Oryzias latipes: one gene and its partner. The main gene of each other region encodes a partner of the protein of the gene in region 2 in a complex. Links are inferred from orthologs where the notes say so. Each region holds a gene or a part of one and is shown on either strand. Other genes may lie near its edges.

Evidence for each region. The genes of interacting proteins can lie anywhere in the genome.
Region 1: prmt5 (region 2) and wdr77 share a complex: the UniProt entries of both Homo sapiens proteins name them as parts of the methylosome complex. The link is inferred for Oryzias latipes from reciprocal best matches to the Homo sapiens genes PRMT5 and WDR77.

Annotation. Positions count from the first base shown.
Region 1 is NC_019863.2:2,525,978-2,530,929, forward strand, and holds the start of wdr77 (methylosome protein 50), read right to left. Parts: upstream 3,187-4,952; 5' UTR 2,879-3,186; coding exon 2,770-2,878; intron 2,592-2,769; coding exon 2,406-2,591; intron 1,525-2,405; coding exon 1,386-1,524; intron 322-1,385; coding exon 272-321; intron 127-271; coding exon 56-126; intron 1-55. UniProt on the Homo sapiens protein: Non-catalytic component of the methylosome complex, composed of PRMT5, WDR77 and CLNS1A, which modifies specific arginines to dimethylarginines in several spliceosomal Sm proteins and histones.
Region 2 is NC_019875.2:17,815,510-17,819,472, reverse strand, and holds part of prmt5 (protein arginine N-methyltransferase 5), read left to right. Parts: intron 1-492; coding exon 493-578; intron 579-705; coding exon 706-840; intron 841-909; coding exon 910-1,022; intron 1,023-1,102; coding exon 1,103-1,152; intron 1,153-1,229; coding exon 1,230-1,393; intron 1,394-1,477; coding exon 1,478-1,639; intron 1,640-1,735; coding exon 1,736-1,813; intron 1,814-3,963. UniProt on the Homo sapiens protein: Arginine methyltransferase that can both catalyze the formation of omega-N monomethylarginine (MMA) and symmetrical dimethylarginine (sDMA), with a preference for the formation of MMA.

The DNA.
Region 1 (4,952 bases), on a different chromosome or scaffold from region 2:
AAGGATCCCCAGGAGCCCGAATGACCACATGCTGACAGAAGACATCATTTCATACTTGGCCACAGGAGACGAAGAGGGACGGATCTGTTGGGCTGCAGGTCACACAGCTGACGGGCCGAGTGTGAACTGGACGGAGAGAGAGAAAGTGTTTGTCCTTCTGCAAACACCACCGTTGATACACTTCTAACACACAACTCGACTTAAAAATCATCATTTACACTCCTGGTCAAAAGCATAAACAGGAGTGCTTTGCCACTGAAGGCTCTCTTACTGTTGTAGGTGGTCACAGCTGCTTCCTGACTGAGATCCCACACTTTAATCCTGCATTGAAGAGAATTCATTTATTTTAGGAAAAATATCCGAGTCACAACATTTCCACGCTCCTAAATCTTCCAGTCGGCTGTCAGTGAAATGATTGTGATGTCATGACACCCGGATGATGGCGGATGTATGTATCAGAGGATGTTCGGTTGGCCGTTCTGCATGTCAGTCAAATGCTGAGGAGGATTATTTGCAGACAGATTTTTTAAAACATATTTTTATCTAATGTTTTTTTTGATGGCCCACGATTTACCCACAAGTCTGATGAGTTAGAGGATGAATCTCTGCTGTTTCAACACGACTGCACTTCAGAAAGCAAAGTTCATACGGACAAGAACACCAGACTGGTGAAGAAGCACTAGCCTAGATTTGTTTTAATTCAAGCTTCTATTTTACAATTTGTAATGTTTCAATATTGTGTTGGTGTGTATTCAGACTGGAAAAATCATTTGGTATGGATCGAGGCCTGAACCTTGCATCTGGTCTGTATTCAGGCTCCCGTCAAGCGCCTCTTCACCCACAGGCCAGGAATTACGAGGGCGGGGCAAAGCAACTAGAGACAGAAACTACGGAAGTCCTCCAGTTTGCAATCCTTGTCGGGATGGTTCACTTAATAAAACTTTATATTTCGCTCATTCGTTTTTGGCGCCTGTATTAACATCAGGAACAATTCTTTTTACTGCTCCTTTGGTACGGCGGAGGCATCCTGCAAGACGCTTACTGGCAAGAAGATGGTACGAAGGTACGACGATGAGGGTCCACTTGGGGGGATTCAGACTGAAAATTTGGTCCGGATTATTGAGAGAAACAAACTCTGGTTCACTTGAAACGGACCAAAAGTGTCCAGTCTGAACACATCCTAATGTTCTTTTGAGCTTAAAACTTTTCAAATGATCTTTTTTTATTTATTTACAATCTGGTTTTTCATTCACTAAGCTGATCCTGATATGAACCCATAGTGGAAGTAGTTGTAGCAGTAAGGGGTGAACTGACATCACATCAAACCCTCAGAGTTCTGAGTGGATACTAACGTTTCAGCGGTCTAACAGACACGGCAGTCTGACCTGCAGTCCATGCTGCCGGTGACGGCGCCGGTTGCTCCAGTGGGGCTCACGGTCGTCACGATGTGGTCGTGCTCGTGTTTGGTGAAGCGACTAACCAGCAGCCGCTCATCTTCTGCCAAATCCCAGAGCTCTAGAGCACCTGAGGACAAGAAGCAGTTCTGTCCAAACACAATCCTGCCAACCAACAGAACACTGCATCCCTGTCTACTGATGTCAATCTGTCCCAACACACTTAGAAGTACATTTTTCTTACACACGGATGACAGCCTAATATTTAATTCAGTGACAGACCTGATTCCATTAAACAAAGATGCAGGACGGAGGCTGCTAAGGGACAAACAGGCGTAGATGCAATCACTGAACTGTTATTCTGATTCACTAAAAATGTTGGAGGAAAAAAAACAAATGGAAAATACAAATGAAGCCAAAAGAAAGAAAGGAGAAGAAATACTATGACATCTAAATGTTAATAAATAATAATATTATTGGGGAGAATTCTGGCTAAGTTAATAAAGTTCTATAATCCGATATAAAATATGCAATTATTACTGGAAAAATCTGAGAACTTAGAAAATCCGTCCCTTGGCCATAATCCTGCGGCCCGACTGGCTCCATGGGATGTTTGTTCCACAGTTCAAATCAAATTAAACTTTATTTATAAAGCACCTGTCATACATCAGTAAAACAAAGTGCGTTCAATTTAAAAATAAAAACGTTTCACTTAAAACATCCCTCTGAGGAAAACATGAATTTTGCAACAAAATGTTAAAGAAATAAAATATATAAGGTAAAATCAGGGATTAATACGAAGATAAATAAAACTTATTAGATGAGAATAAAGTAAAAATGAGTTAAAAAAGACAGATAAAAATGTGGAAAAAGGATAAATACTTAAAATAATGTAAAACAGCAAATGAATATGTTCTTACATTTGAAGGAAAAGCCAGTTTAAGTTATAGCAGAATGTTTGTAAAGTATTGAACATTGAGTTTTTAGTTGTCAGGATCATTTGAGACGCACCTGAATCTGAAGCAGCAACAATGGCCTTCTCAGTGACCCATTTGACATCAGTGATCCCTGCCTCCGTCTGCACGCCAGCCCTGCAGAAGCCCTCACTGGGGGCCTGCTCAGGCTCCCTGTAGATCCACACAGACCCCTGCCAGGTCCTGCCCGAGAGGCTGGAGGCGCCCAGGAGCAGCGTGCCGTCTGCAGAGGACACAGCACGAACGTGGGAAGCAGCGTTTCTAAAGGTTACACACCAGTTTACAGCCGAACTAAAGAACTGAGCTGAATATATCAGGACACCAACAAACCCCCAGTCCCATAAATGAAAAGCACGTGGTTTATGCCTGTGACCCACGGTTAGCGCCTTCTCTCTTCCTACCTGCTCGGTACTGAGCCGCGCACAGATGCTTCTCCATGCACGCCGGAGCGTTTGGGGGAATATTCCACCGATTTTCCTTGATCATATTTGTGTCGACTGCACTGTTCATCCAAAAAGCAAACTTTAGTCTAGTTTCCCACTAATTCAGATGTGGTTGTCCGCAAATCAGCTACACAACCGTTAACGCTAGCTAAGCTAGCTGCGGCCAAAGAAAAGCTCGTATTTTCTGTTTAGGCAAAATAGAAATATACACCTAAAACGCATACGAGCTTAAAATAACATTTCTAGCGAAAACAATGGATACGTTTTCGCGTCCCGAATGAATGACAACGAAATAATAATGCATTAAACACGTGGGACCGGTGGGGAAAAGGTCCCTTAGGCGTTTGGAGGACTTCTTCGTTGGTGTTTATTGTTCTTTTCCTCTTGTGCGTTTCCCGTCTGCACTGCCCCCTGCGGGCAGAGAAGGTGAACTACAAGGCTTCATTTCAATCAATATGAGAGCTTTCTGTATTAGTGGGTGTGTTTGGTCTGGCACAGGCGCGGGTTGGTGGTGGGCAATGATGATTTATTGTGAGTGTGAAATGTGACGGGATCTAACCAGGTTTTAAAATGTTTTGTTTAAAATAAATTATCCACGTTTAAAAAAAATGTGTTGCTTGGTTTTATCTGAGTACTTGTTCCAGCAGATGTAGTTGAATAAGTCAATTTGATTAACAACTAGCCTCAGACAGATCAATCTGGTTGAATCGTAGGAAAGCAAATCGATTAAGTCGATTAATTGTGCCACCCCTGTGACTCGAACAGCTTACAGTGACTGAGTTTCCTGTACTTTGGGATGTTAACATGATCTGGAAGCAAAAATTGAGGTGTCTTTCTAACTGAGAAATAAGTATGAAATTCATTTACTGCCCATCCATTCAGAACAAAGAGGTTGGGACAGCAATGACATGGTGGAAAATTCAACACAAAGTCCAGCCATCCATCCATCCATCTTCAGAACCGGCTGAATCCATTTTGCAGTCGTGAGGTTGCTGGAGCCTATCCTGCTACTGTTGGGAAAAGGTGAGGTACACCCTGAACAGGTCACCAGTCTGTTGCAGGGTCCCACAGGCATGCACACAGACACCTAAAGGACTATTAAGTCATAAAACAATTCCATGAAGCGTGTTCGTGTAAAACGCATAAATAAAAGGACCCAGCTGGGGTCTGAAATGGATAATTTTAGGAATTGTCAGTAAACAAATGTACAAAGCTTTCATTTATACATTCCCAAAAATCCCCAAAGAAATTACATAAGGATGCAGAAAATTTAAAAACGATCTGGATTATATGGTATAGAAGTTATACATTTGTAAAGCATGACAGGTCAATTGTATTGAGGGCTGTAAGCTGTAGCTTTGTGCTATGTACACCAAGAAAACACAAAGTTTTTTAATTGTGTTCATTAGGACACAGTGAGCCCGCATACACATATGTGCTAGAGCGTAGCATCTCTGTGATTATTGTTTGATAAATTTTAAGTTTTTACATATGAGAAGGAGCACGAGAATCACTTGTGGCTCACAAGGATCAATTTCTGCTGTTTTGCACAAATATTTGTTTTTTTCTTTATGTGATGGTCAACATAAAAAATTGTAAGTATATATTTTAAACTATTCTTATTTATTCATTCTGTTCAGTTTTTATGTCTTGCAGATTTACCTTCATTTATTATAGCCTATTTAATAAAAAACAAGTTTTTTGTACGTTTGTAAATAGTGCTGGTAAGATTTAGGCATAACCTAGTGGGATTCCTAACGTTATTTCTATTTTAAAATTTCTATTGAAATTTTATCTTATAGTTTTTATAAAGAAAACAAACAACTATGACTATTGTTATCCCCTAAACGTGTTTTATTATTTTAGAAAATCGATGATCCCCCAAAGATGCACAGTTTGCATGAGCAATGGTGTTCTGCTGAAGCTAAAAACAAACCAGAAATGTTGAATTTGATGTTTGATGGAACAGCTTTTGAGTGTGATTTCCATGTAATAAAGATGCGAAGCCGCAGAAGCCGAGGTTTCATCCTCCAGACTTTATTGTGAAAGAGCAGAGCGGAAGTGATGATTAGGGATAATTTCACACTAGTGCTCTTCTGTCTGAAATCGATATGTGATTGGCTTTTCTCGGTTTAGGGTCT
Region 2 (3,963 bases):
CTGGGTGTGAACACAAAAAACGTGGCGAATAACGCTGGCGAATAACGCCTGGCGAATATTCGTCCCGGTGTGTACGGGCCTTAAGGTTGGGGTCATCTGGACGCCATAGGATATGTGGTGATGCTGGTCCCCGCCTGTGATGCTGCATTTGGCTGGTTATGCAGCTATTCACAGAAAAGGAACGTCCCAAATATTAGCCTCTCCTACTGCTGACATCGCCTATCCCCATCAGGAAGGTGTGAAAGGGGAGGGGGCTCTATTTTAATATTCATGCTTGTTTTTATGTTTTATTTTAATGTAAAGCACTTTGTGTTTTTGTTTTTATAGGAAAAGTGCCATTTAAAAATAAAGCTTGATCGCGATTTGCCTTTCAAAGCAAGGCGGCAACAGTCAAGCATTAAAAAAAAATAAAACACTCAAACGGAAGTGATCTATGTAAATTTTACTGTCTGTTCAACAGAAAATCTGAATACTGATTGATATTTCTTACAGATTGGGGTACTCTCATTGTTGGGAAGCTTTCTCCATGGATCTGTGCAGACTCAGAAATCGAGACCGAGCGCCGGAACTCAGAGGAGGCAAGTTCTTTTCAAGTTTGAACCATTTGAAACGGGTCTTTATTTCCATTCAGGCATCGGCGAACTCTTGTGAGGACTGCCAGCTCTTGTGGGGTTAGGAGGTTTATTTTGTTATAATTTTCCACAGGCTCTGACACAAGAGCTGAACTTCTCAGCATACCTGGGTCTCCCTGTCTTCATGATCCCTCTGACGGGCCCTCACAATGCCAATCTGGCCCGCCTGCTGCTGAGCCACATCCACACGGGACACCACACCTCAAATGTAAGACACGGGATGGCCTTTGCTCCGTAGGTTACCAAAGCGTCACTCAACCGCGTCTTTCTCCTTCAGTTCTGGATACGTGTTCCACTGATGGCGGCAGAAGACACGAGAGAAGACCTGATTGAGAACGAACCCTTTTCTTGTCCTGATGAGACGAGTGTTGATGAGAAGACGTGGAACTGGTGAGTTTCTGTGCATCTGCTTCCTCCACCTCTCTCAGGTCAAATTTCAAATCCTTTTTTCTTGTTTTGTTTCTGTTCAGGTGGAACACATTTCGAACTCTTTGTGACTACAATAAGAGGATCTGCCTCGGTGAGGGAGCAAACCATGTTGTGGTAGCTTTGGACCAGTCGGAATTCCGTTACTTCACGTTTGTTTGTTTTTTTTAGCTATTGATATCGGTGCAGACATGCCCTCAGACGCAGTGATCGATAAATGGATGGGGGAGCCAATCAAAGCTGCCATACTTCCTACAAGCCTCTTCCTGACCAACAAAAAGGGATTTCCCGTGTTGTCAAAAGCCCACCAAAGAGTAATCTTTCGCCTTTTCAAGGTACTTCTTCTTTACACCCATTTGTTTCAGACATTTATCGATGGTTTTAATCCATTCTGTTTAACCAAAAATACTTCCTTTCAGCTGGAGGCCCAGTTTATCTTCACAGGCACCAGTCGGCACACTGAGAAGGACTTTAGGTCCTACCTGCAATACCTTGAATACCTCAACCAGAACAGGCCAGCCCCCAACGCCTATGAGCTCTTCGCCAAAGGCTATGAAGACTACTTGCAGTCACCTCTACAGGTGAGGAAGCACTAGGATTAGGGTCGCATCTTTTTTTTTTTGTGTGTGTGGAAATTATGATTATTAATAAGTGAGATCTGTACTTCTGCTGTTTAGCCCCTCATGGACAATTTGGAATCTCAGACTTATGAAGTGTTTGAGAAGGATCCCATCAAATACTCTCAGTACCAACAGGTAAGGTCCTCAAAAGCAGCAATATTAGGACTTAAAAGTCCCACCCCGATCATCATTTGATGTCTTTTTTAAAGTGTTCCCAGTAGTGTTTTTAATTATTAGTGGCGGCCAGCAGCCATCGCTGAACTTTGGACCCATTTTGGTCATTTATCCCGCTGGACTCTGAATGTCTGAGAGTGGGTCGTCTCCGGGATGACCTGATAATGGATCTGATTCCAGTCTCAGGGCAGACACTCGTCCATTAGCCCTCCGAGATGGCCCTCATCACTGGAATAGCATCTTTAGCCATTAAGACGTCAGTTTAAACGTCATGTGTGACAAAAAGAACAAAAAAGCAAAACAAATTTGATGGATAAATTACAGGAAGACCGAAGTTTTTGCATTTCAAGATTCAAGTTTTATTGCCGTTTGCACATGCGGTACATCGGAATTTTTCTTTGGCATCTCTCATGTCAGGATAAGTTAAAAAAGGACAAAAGAAAAATTTGAAGAAGAAATAATAAAGAAAATAAAAATAAATAGAATAAAGTTAAAAGTCAAAATTAGACAACAAATTTACATGGTGTATAAAAATATAAATATCAGTAAAATATGATAATGGATATTGCAGAGACCCAATCTGTACAGAAGCATTATTGCACATAGAATTATTGCACATATTATTGTTTATTGCACTTAGTATTTTAGTCCAGTCTTCTCTCTCTGATGTCCTTAGCCAGCATTCTGATTGCAGCTGGGAAGAAGCTGTCGTGGAAGCGTGTGGTGTGTGCGTGGATGCTTTCAGGCCTGCGACGCCTGAGGTTGTGGCCTGAGTCCACGCATTGGATCAGTCCATGAGCAGGGTGGTGTCTGTCTCTGATGATCTTAGTCACTCTCCTCCTGCAGCGCTGTTTGTAGATGGTGTCCATGGATGGAAGGTTGCAACCTATGATTTTTCCAGCTGTATTAATGACCCTCTGCAGCATCTTCTTCTCTTTTAAGGTGGTGTTACCGAACCAGGCTGTTAGTCCGCTTGTGAGGATGCTTTCCACAAGCCCCCTGTAGGCTTGGGTGAGGGTCCGGCGCTTGAGACCGGCCTTCTTCAGCAGCCTGATGAAGTACAGCCTCTGCTGGGCTTTCTTCACTGTGGCAGCAGTGTTTCTTTCCCAGCTGAGGCTGTTTGTGATCTGCAGACCAAGGAACCGGTGGCAGTCGGTCCGCTCCACCACAGTCCCGTTGATGATGAGCGGTTGATGTGGCGGTGCTTTCCTTCTGTAGTCCACGATTATCTCTTTTGTTTTCTCTACGTTGAGAACAAGGTCGTTGTCCTCTCCGTAGATGGTGATCCTGTGCACAAGGTCTCTGTATGCAGACTCGTCCCCTCCTCTGATGAGGCCGAGGACGGTTGTGTCGTCTGCATACTTAATGATGATGTTGTTGGAGTCGGGGGAGGTGCAGTCGTGGGTGTAAAGTGAGAAGAGCTTTGGACTGAGGCAGCACCCCTGTGGTGTACCAGTGCTAACTGTCAGCTCAGCAGAGACCTGCTTTCCCATCCTCACCACCTGTGGTCGGTCAGTGAGAAAGTCAAGGATCCAGTTTCTGGTGGGTGTTGGTATTCCCAGATCTGCGAGTTTATCAGTCAGCTTCAGGGGCCTGATGGTGTTGAAGGCAGAGCTGTAGTCCAGGAACAGAATCCGGGCGTACGTGTTCTTGGTGTCCTGATGTTGCAGGGTGGAGTGAAGTGCCAGTGCCACCGCATCTTCTGCTGATCTGTTGGGGCGGTAGGCGAACTATTTAGTCAAAACAAACAAAGATGGAGGTTTAACATGTTCCCAACCCGTGTTTGATTGAGTTTGACTTTAAACGCTCTTTTTCTTATGCCAGTTTTTACATGAATATGTATATATTTTTACTTCTCTTGTCAAAAACGACATTTTGCTAATCCTGTGTCATATAAAAGCATCATTGTGAAAGTTATGATTTAGCATTCATTAGTGCAACATGTTGCCTCTGAAGCTAGCGGCAGTAGTTCATTAGACGTTTGCCTGAGTTGTGGGTAGGACCACTGGTGTGGAGCAACCCCACCCCCTTTCCCTTCCCCGTTGCTTGTGGCCCACCAAACGCCACAAACACGCTCTTTTTTTGGGGGGGATTCAACTGCATTTTTGTCG